2 linked regions of the Rhinolophus ferrumequinum genome follow. The main gene of each other region encodes a partner of the protein of the gene in region 2 in a complex. Links are inferred from orthologs where the notes say so. Each region holds a gene or a part of one and is shown on either strand. Other genes may lie near its edges.

Region 1 (3,747 bases), on a different chromosome or scaffold from region 2:
CTGGAATATCAGCCCTGTGCACAACCAAAGCCTTTGCTCTCCTGTCAGCAATCCATTCACAGATGATCTCTTCCAGCTCAGGAAATAATGGTTGCTGACTTGATCCACACTTGCGCTTCTTAGCATTTCCCTCGTCCACCTGTTGACTGAGGTTATTGTACTCTGCTCGCCATTTTCGGACCATTCGGAGATCCAACTTCTTCTCTTTGCAGAAAGCCGGAAGATTCTTGCCCCAGGAGTAATCCACGAGTCCTTTCTTATACTCGACAGAATAGCTCTTTCTCATCTTGTCTGGGGGTCAAAATATTATTCCCTTTAAACGTACCATTAAATCAAGAGTTAATTGAAGACTACGAGACAGGAGTGACAACAAAAATGATGATAGTTAAGAATGATGGTCCACACAAAAGCGGTGAAAAATTGCAGGCACCAAAATTCAGAAAAGGTTTCTTTATTTCACAAGAGTGCATTAAGTACGTCCATTACAATACGCAACGTATTGAATTATGAAGATTCATATTAGACACAACCACGTCTGCTCGTTATCAAGTGCACACGTTATTCGTGAGTTGTGTTTATACTCTGATTGGTCATTCGGCAATAAGTTTCGAGTTCATGTGTTTACATAGGCGTTTACCTCTTATCCGAAGGCGCCCGCTTGGGTATTTACAAATACTTAATTATAATTTATATTATCATTTATTTAAGTATTAATGCCAATAATATTATTTATATTTAATTATATATAAATATTATTTTATAATTCAATACGTCAGTCGTGTGTTGCAACAGACATACTAAATGTGTCCGTCTGGCTGACAATCTTAACTGGGGCTTATTTTTGGGGTAGGGCTTATAATATGAGCATCCTGAAAAAATCATGCTAGGGCTTATTTTCCAGGTAGGTCTTATTTTCGGGGAAAAACGGTAAAACATGGGGACCTCAGGGTAGGTTTTCCAGACAAAACACAGGACTGCCAGTTATGCTTGAATTTCAGATAAATAGCAACAATCAGATAAATAACGAGTATTTTTCTTGCATCTCTATGTCTACACGTTGCACGGGATAGTTACGCTAGTAAATCACTCGTTCCCTGTGTAAAATTCAAATTTAACCGTGGTCCAGGTCTTTTTATTTGCTAAACCTGGCAGCCCCTGTCCCCCCAGGGAACATATCCCACCTGTTCACAAGGATCCCTTAATGTTTTTTTGTTGTGGTAAAATACACATAATAAAAATTGAGCATTTTTGCCACTTTTGAGTGCACAGTTCAGTTCTCAACACTTTCTAAAAGAATGAAAGCCTCGCTCGCATTTCTTAGCAACGTAGCCACGCCCCTAGGCCGCAGGGCGTGGCGCGCCGGAGTCACATGCGCCGCCTTCCAGGCTTCCGTAGAGCAAGCCTGCCAGGGCCAGCGCGTGCGTACGTGCGTCTACACGCGTGCGCAGGCGGCGGCCAGCGCGCCCCGCCCTTGCGACACCGCCCTGCGTGCGCGCGCCCAGCCAGCCCCTTGGATTATTACAGCGCCGGGGGCGGTGGTTGGCGTCGGGCAAGGCGGCGACATGGCGACAACGCTGCTTGTAGTATTGGGGCTCGCGCTGCTGAGCGCTGACAGAGGCACCGGGGCGGGTGAGAACTGGTCGGGCGGGGGCCGTGGGTTCGCCCTCGGGGGTCCAGCCGGGCGGGGGTGGAGGTGAAGCCCCGTCCTCCTAGGGGAACCCGTGAGCTCCGGCGGAGACAGTGCCCGGGGTTTGGGGCGCTCCGAGGACTCCCCGCCGAGGTGGTATGTTGGGAAGCCCCGGCTTGGGGTCTCGGGGATCCGACCAGGACGATACTGAAGTCCCAGATTTTTGGCGGCCTGGGGGAGGGCGGGGTCTGGGAGCTGTTGTGACCCCTGGTGAGGGCACCTGGGGAGGGGATCTGGAAGCGGCCCCCCACCCTTCCCCCGCTGGGGAAGGGACGAAGCGGCTGGGTCTTGGGATCGGGGGCCCAGGGACCTGAGGAAGCAACTTGAGGGTGAGGTTCCCCGGCCTGGGTGTGCGGGGCAAGGGGCGAGAAGGGCCCTCCGGACTCCCTGGGGCGCTTAGCTCTTATCTGGAAAGCGGGCTGTTGTCCTCAAGTGGACGCTGGAAGCAAATGCACTTGAGCGTCCCTGAAGCTGGCGGCCGTCGAACTGGCAGGGATTGTCATTCTTGCTGGGATTTAGGTCCCGACTCTCCTGGGTGTGCATCTGCTCCTGGTGTTCACCCAAACTTTTAAACCCTTGTAGGGAGGCCGACATGCTCTATTGCCTTAGGTTTTGTCTGATTTCTGGGCACAGATAAAACTGGTTTAATCCACCAGCCTCCTTTTACAGGGGTGGAAACTGAGGCTCCGGATGGGAGGGGGATGTTCCAAGGTCACCGTGAGGTCGCCCTGGCCACCCAGTTCAGAGCAGGAAGTGGAAAAGGTTGTGTATACAGACTCTCAAACAGCATTCAGTTTTCAGAGCTGTTAGGAGGAGTGGGCAGGGTTTTAGGGGTGGGCAGATGTGGTTTGGAGAAGGCTCGGGGGGAAAATGGGTTAAGGTGCAGTTTTCCAGGAGAAAGCCTGACAGACGTTTTCTTCCCCTGTGGAGACTTTCTTTCTGGTTCTGGGTTACCAATTTAGTGACCGGCATGTAGGGAGCAAAGTGCAGACGTGAAAGTTTTGTGGCACTGAGCCCTGGAGGGGCTGCCTCTTGTAGAAGTTTCACCGGCTTACTCCTGACCTACTTTAAGATCTCAGTTCGCCTCTTCCTCTTCTTATAATCAAAACGGCCATTTATCGAATGCCTCTGGGCTACCTGTCTGCCCACCAGCGCTCTCTGGAAAGACTTACGTAGGACCCGTAGTCGAAGTGAATTCGGAAGATAAGCAGCTGGGGCCTCGGTGGCTGGAGACAGCCAAGGGGGTTAAGGGACCGTGGTTTCCTCTGCTGTGGCGCACAGCCCCCCAGTGTGCTCCTCGCCTCAGAGCCCCAGCCAGGAAGCCAGGAGGCTCTGTGTGGGTGCAGGTTGGGGGCTTTTCTTGCATGCTCCCTGCATGGGGTTCACTATGCCCTCTGACCCCCTGGGACTCCTGTCTGTTTTGTTTTCCTTTTTTACTTTTGACAGCTCCCCCTTTCCCAGGAACTCTTGAAAATATCTGAAAGTCTTTCAGAGGATGTCACCACATGTTCCTTTTCTCCCTGGGAGGAGTGACTTAGTGACAGTGTTTGCATATTCAGGCCAGCTCAGCACCCCAGGAATGCTCTGGGTGCTCTGCTGGGAGACCCTGGCTATCCCTAGGATTGCCCGGGGTCCTGTCATTCCGGCCAGCACGTTGGGAGGGCATGGGCTTGCCATCTGGGTTCCAAGGGCTGATGACTTGGCCTCTCTGAACTGCCTCCTGGTGGGATGGAGAGGAGGGTGGTGAGGTGGGGAGCCCACGGCTGGTCCCCAGAAATGCTCTTGGCTCCTATCTGGGGCCTGCAGTGCTGCTGTGGGTGGGAGGAGGGTGGGGACCTGCAGCCTCATCCTGATAGCTCCTGGGCAGTTCACCACGAGGCCTGCCTGGCCCTGCTCCCCAGCCTGGCTGCCTAGTGGGCACTGAGCAGGGGTGGCTGTTTTTAGATGAAGGTGACTTTACTTGAGAGCGTGGGTTACAGTCACAGGGCTGGAATGCAATTTTCACTTTCCACTCCCTGTGGATTGGGGTTGCTCCCCACCATCTCCTAGGCCCTGGGTTT
Region 2 (3,747 bases):
CCCCATTTTCAAAAACAAAGCTCAGTGCATTCTATATGCCTCACACTCAGAAGAAATAGGAGAAGGGAAGATGCATGATGTAGTTACAGATTCAGGCCCCATCGAGGCCTACCTGGATGGTAATAAGTGTGCCCCTTCATGCCCACCTTGGGTTTTACTGATGCCTGCACAGTCCCCTCGGGCAAAACTGCAACATTCAAAGCTTCTCTCACCCACTCCTGGAAACGCAGTGCAGCTTTGTCAAGGCAAGATCTGGAGAGAATCTATAAAAATGGATTCAAGAGCAGATCCTGGCTCCAGCCACCTCATCCCAACCCAGACCCCACGGAGTCCTGAGTTTATTGCATGACTCTGACCCTTTAGTGTCAGTTTCCCCATCACTAGAGGGCCCTGCCAGTTCTGGAAAGGAGCAACACCCATGCCGATTTTCCAGGATTCAGCCTGTGACCAGACCTGGCTGGCTCTGGAGACATGGGTAAGTCAGACTCCCATCTCTGCCCTCTTGCTCAGTCAGGGTGTGGGGAGGAGTCAGGGTGGGGGAGAAAGAAAGGATGAGAGACACTCAGCGGTGAGGGCACAAGCACTGCTCTAGGGGCCAGGGCTGTTGAAACTCCCAGTATGAGCCAGGTAATTATGAAGCTAGCTGATATCTGCACTCAATTCACAGGTCTCATTTCATTTAATCCCTACCAGAGGCAGGCACTATGACCATCCTCGCTGAAACAAGGAGTAAACTGAGACCTGGAGAGGTCCAGTGACTTGCCCAAGGCCCCTTCTGCAGCTAAAAGGAACACACTGGACTGTCTGCAAGTCTTTGCCATTACAGTGCACCAGGAGCCAAGCACTGTGCTCTTTTCTTCACTCCTCACAACAGGCCTGCCTGCCAGACCTATCTCTACATTACTACCTGTTGTCACACAACAGCCTAGCAGACTGCCCCCCCCACCCCCGTGTCTTTCCTTAAGGAAAGAATAGTCTGTGAGACCGTGCATCTCTGGGACTGTATATTTCTCTCTATTTAGTCTCCAAAAGAGGGTTTGCGGACAATGACGAGTAAGATTCCCCATGGTGGGGGCAACTCAAACCAGGCGGAACCCCATGGAGACCGCCATGAGCTGCCTTAAAAAGATTTGGGAAGGGGCCTTGTCTCCTCTTCCCCCTGCCTGGGAAAAGCAGCTGCTGGCTCTGACTTTTCCCTCTCACCTAATTGGGAGAAAAGTCTTGAGAGTGATAAGATTAAGCTCTGCTCAGCTCTGTGAAACAATTTTGACATGTGATATACGTCCCTTAAAAGAGTTGCATACCTCACCTCAAGGACTTTCTGCTTCAGCTGTGATCAACTGTGATCAACTATGATCAACATAATTGGTTTGGGTTGTTTCTATAACGTGATAAGTGAGTCCCACAGAGCATGCCAAAAACACTGCTACCCCCTTGTATACTTATCAATAAAAACCTCCAGTCGGCGTTGTTCTGGGCTCCAGTCTTTCAGGACTGTGAGACCCCTGGCCTTCTGAGATTTAACTGCATTAAGTCTCTGTATGTTTCTTTCTTAAAAACTTAACCCAAAGCTGCCCCTTCTCGCACCCTCACTGCCCGTGTTGCGCTGGAAGCGACAACTACCTCCTTTTAACAGAGGAGGAAACAGATTCAGAGAAAGGCAGAAACCAGGTCACAGGTGGTAAAGCCAGAATCCCAGAGAGTTCTGACTCCATATCATGCACCTCCCTGTTTTTTCTGGGCCTCAGTTTCTTCACCTGTGCCAGGAAGGGTAGGGCTAGATGAGTTCCGAGGACTGTCAGCCAGAGTTCTCTTTAAGGGACCGGAAGCTCACCTGCAAGTGGAGATGCCCACGGAGGCTTAATTTTCTCTCCTGTGTTCCAGTCCTCTCCTCTCTACCCGCTTTCCGTGTCAGGGCTCTCACCTGTACTAGCAGCTCAGCTCCAGGAGGTACCGCTGGGCTCTGTTCCCCCTCCCTCCTCCCGAGGGCGGGGCGCTCACCTGTACAGGTATCCCAGCTGCAGGAGATGCAGCAGCGCCAGACAGCGGCCCGGAGGCTGCGACTCGTGCAAGCCAGGCGGGTCGGCGCGCAGCCAGACCCAGCTGAAGACCTGCAGTGCAACCGAGGAGAGGCCCAGCAGCGTCAGCACCAGTGCGGCCCACACATAACGACCATTGAGCACATACTGGCTGGCGGCCCACAGGTTGGCGCCCAGGTTGATCAGGAAGGCAGCGGTTCCCCAGATGACCAGGATCAGGTCCGTAAGGAGCTTGGCACGCAGTGACCAGGGCATGACGCGCCAGCCCCTCTCCCTCCTTCCCTCTGGGCTGGGAACCGCCCTCCAGGCAGGGATATGCAGCGGCAGGAAGGAGGCGGGCACAGCCCTCGGAGCCGCCCAGGGCCCGGGCCGGCTGGGTGGGACTTCCCTGTCCCGCCTAGTCCTGGGAGGAGCGAGGACCGCGGCCTGCCCCCAAGGCCCTTCCTCGCAAGGCCGCAGGCCCTGTCTGCAGCTTTCCCCGGAATCCTCCACCCAGCCCCGCTGAGCCCCGAGGACCGCTAGGTCCGAAGACGGGCCGTCCAAGGTGTACTGCCCTTAGTTTAGCAGGCTTCTGATTCTCTTGCTTTGCACTTGAGGCTCCTGGAGGCCTAAGACGGCCCAAATGGCCCAGAGATTAGCGCCCGGGCTAGAACTGCGGCGTAAAAAAACCCAGAAAGGCCTGTTCTGACCGCAGATCGCTGGACTTCGCGAACTAATTGTGCTTCGAGTTCGGGCAGTGTGTTGGGGAGACGGAGAGCACAGGATCATCGAGGCGCATCTTCCTGGCTCATTTTATTCTGAAGATCCGTATGGAGGGACAGGAGGACGTTCAGTGACTGTGTAAAGGAGTTGCTTTAAACATTATTTACAAATTGAAAGGAATAATACGCAGAATAAGATGCACGATGAGCGTTCCCCCCTCCCCCATAAAAGGTGAAACTTGGAAGAAATGTCCGTCGTGGGGGGAGGGGGTCTTTGAGCTTCATTTCCTGATCTGACTGTCCCATCCCACTTATCTCTGGACGCGGGGGTAAATGATGTAAAATTCCAGTTCTCAATAGGTGACGCTGGCCCCAATTCACCAGGAGGAAGACAACACAGCTAGCGGGCAGGCGGCGCTCAACGTCACCGCGGGAGCAGTGCGCACAGGCCGAGCAGCGCGGCCAGCAGGAGCGCGAGCACGGGCGCGGGACCAGAGCCGGGGGCGCGCAGGCAGGCGGCGTACGCGTCGAAGGCCACCTCGCGCAGCGCGCACACGTGCTCCGCGCGGCAGACCTCGCCGCAGGCTCGCGTGTCGTAGCTGACAGAGTTGTAGACGTAGTAGCGCTGCATCGTGTCCTGGTCGGTGGCGATGCGGCCCAGTGCAGCGTGCATGGAGCGGGCACCTGCGTCGGGCACCCCGTAGGCCTCCGTCACCCTGTACTCGAGCTCCCAGCGCGCCTCTCCGCGCGCGTTCGCCTGGCTCAGGTTCATGAAGTAAGTCATCATATTCTGCAAAGAGGTCACGGTCAGGCAGGCCATGAGCAGCTGTCTACTTCCACCCCTAATCCCTCATTTTGCCTTTGTCCCCAGATTCTTTATATCCATAATAATGACCTCTGTTTGTTATTATTTACTACTTACCAGGTGTGCGTGGCAGACATCCTCTAATGGAATCTGATGTGGTAACTGTGCTTATTACCCCTATTTCACAGATTTGAACACTGAG

What was found. Proteins that work in one complex are often made in the same cells at the same time.
Region 1: the proteins of XKR8 (region 2) and BSG are in contact, whole or in part, in a cryo-EM structure (PDB 7DCE), measured with the Homo sapiens proteins. The link is inferred for Rhinolophus ferrumequinum from reciprocal best matches to the Homo sapiens genes XKR8 and BSG. Residues at the interface, in NP_060523.2 of Homo sapiens: His232, Leu236, Val239, Leu242, Trp243, Leu246, Gln247, Arg280, Gly283, Arg284, Ile287, Phe291, Ser294, Asp295, Leu298, Ala301, Thr302; in NP_001719.2 of Homo sapiens: Trp326, Pro327, Gly330, Ile331, Glu334, Val335, Leu338, Val339, Ile341, Ile342, Phe343, Tyr345, Glu346, Lys350.

The regions. Positions count from the first base shown.
Region 1 is NC_046301.1:62,250,469-62,254,215, reverse strand, and holds the start of BSG (basigin), read left to right. Parts: upstream 1-1,446; 5' UTR 1,447-1,562; coding exon 1,563-1,629; intron 1,630-3,747.
Region 2 is NC_046292.1:19,181,397-19,185,143, reverse strand, and holds the start of XKR8 (XK-related protein 8), read right to left. Parts: upstream 2,393-3,747; 5' UTR 2,295-2,392; coding exon 2,002-2,294; intron 1-2,001. Other genes in the region: SMPDL3B (acid sphingomyelinase-like phosphodiesterase 3b), read right to left, coding at 3,165-3,530.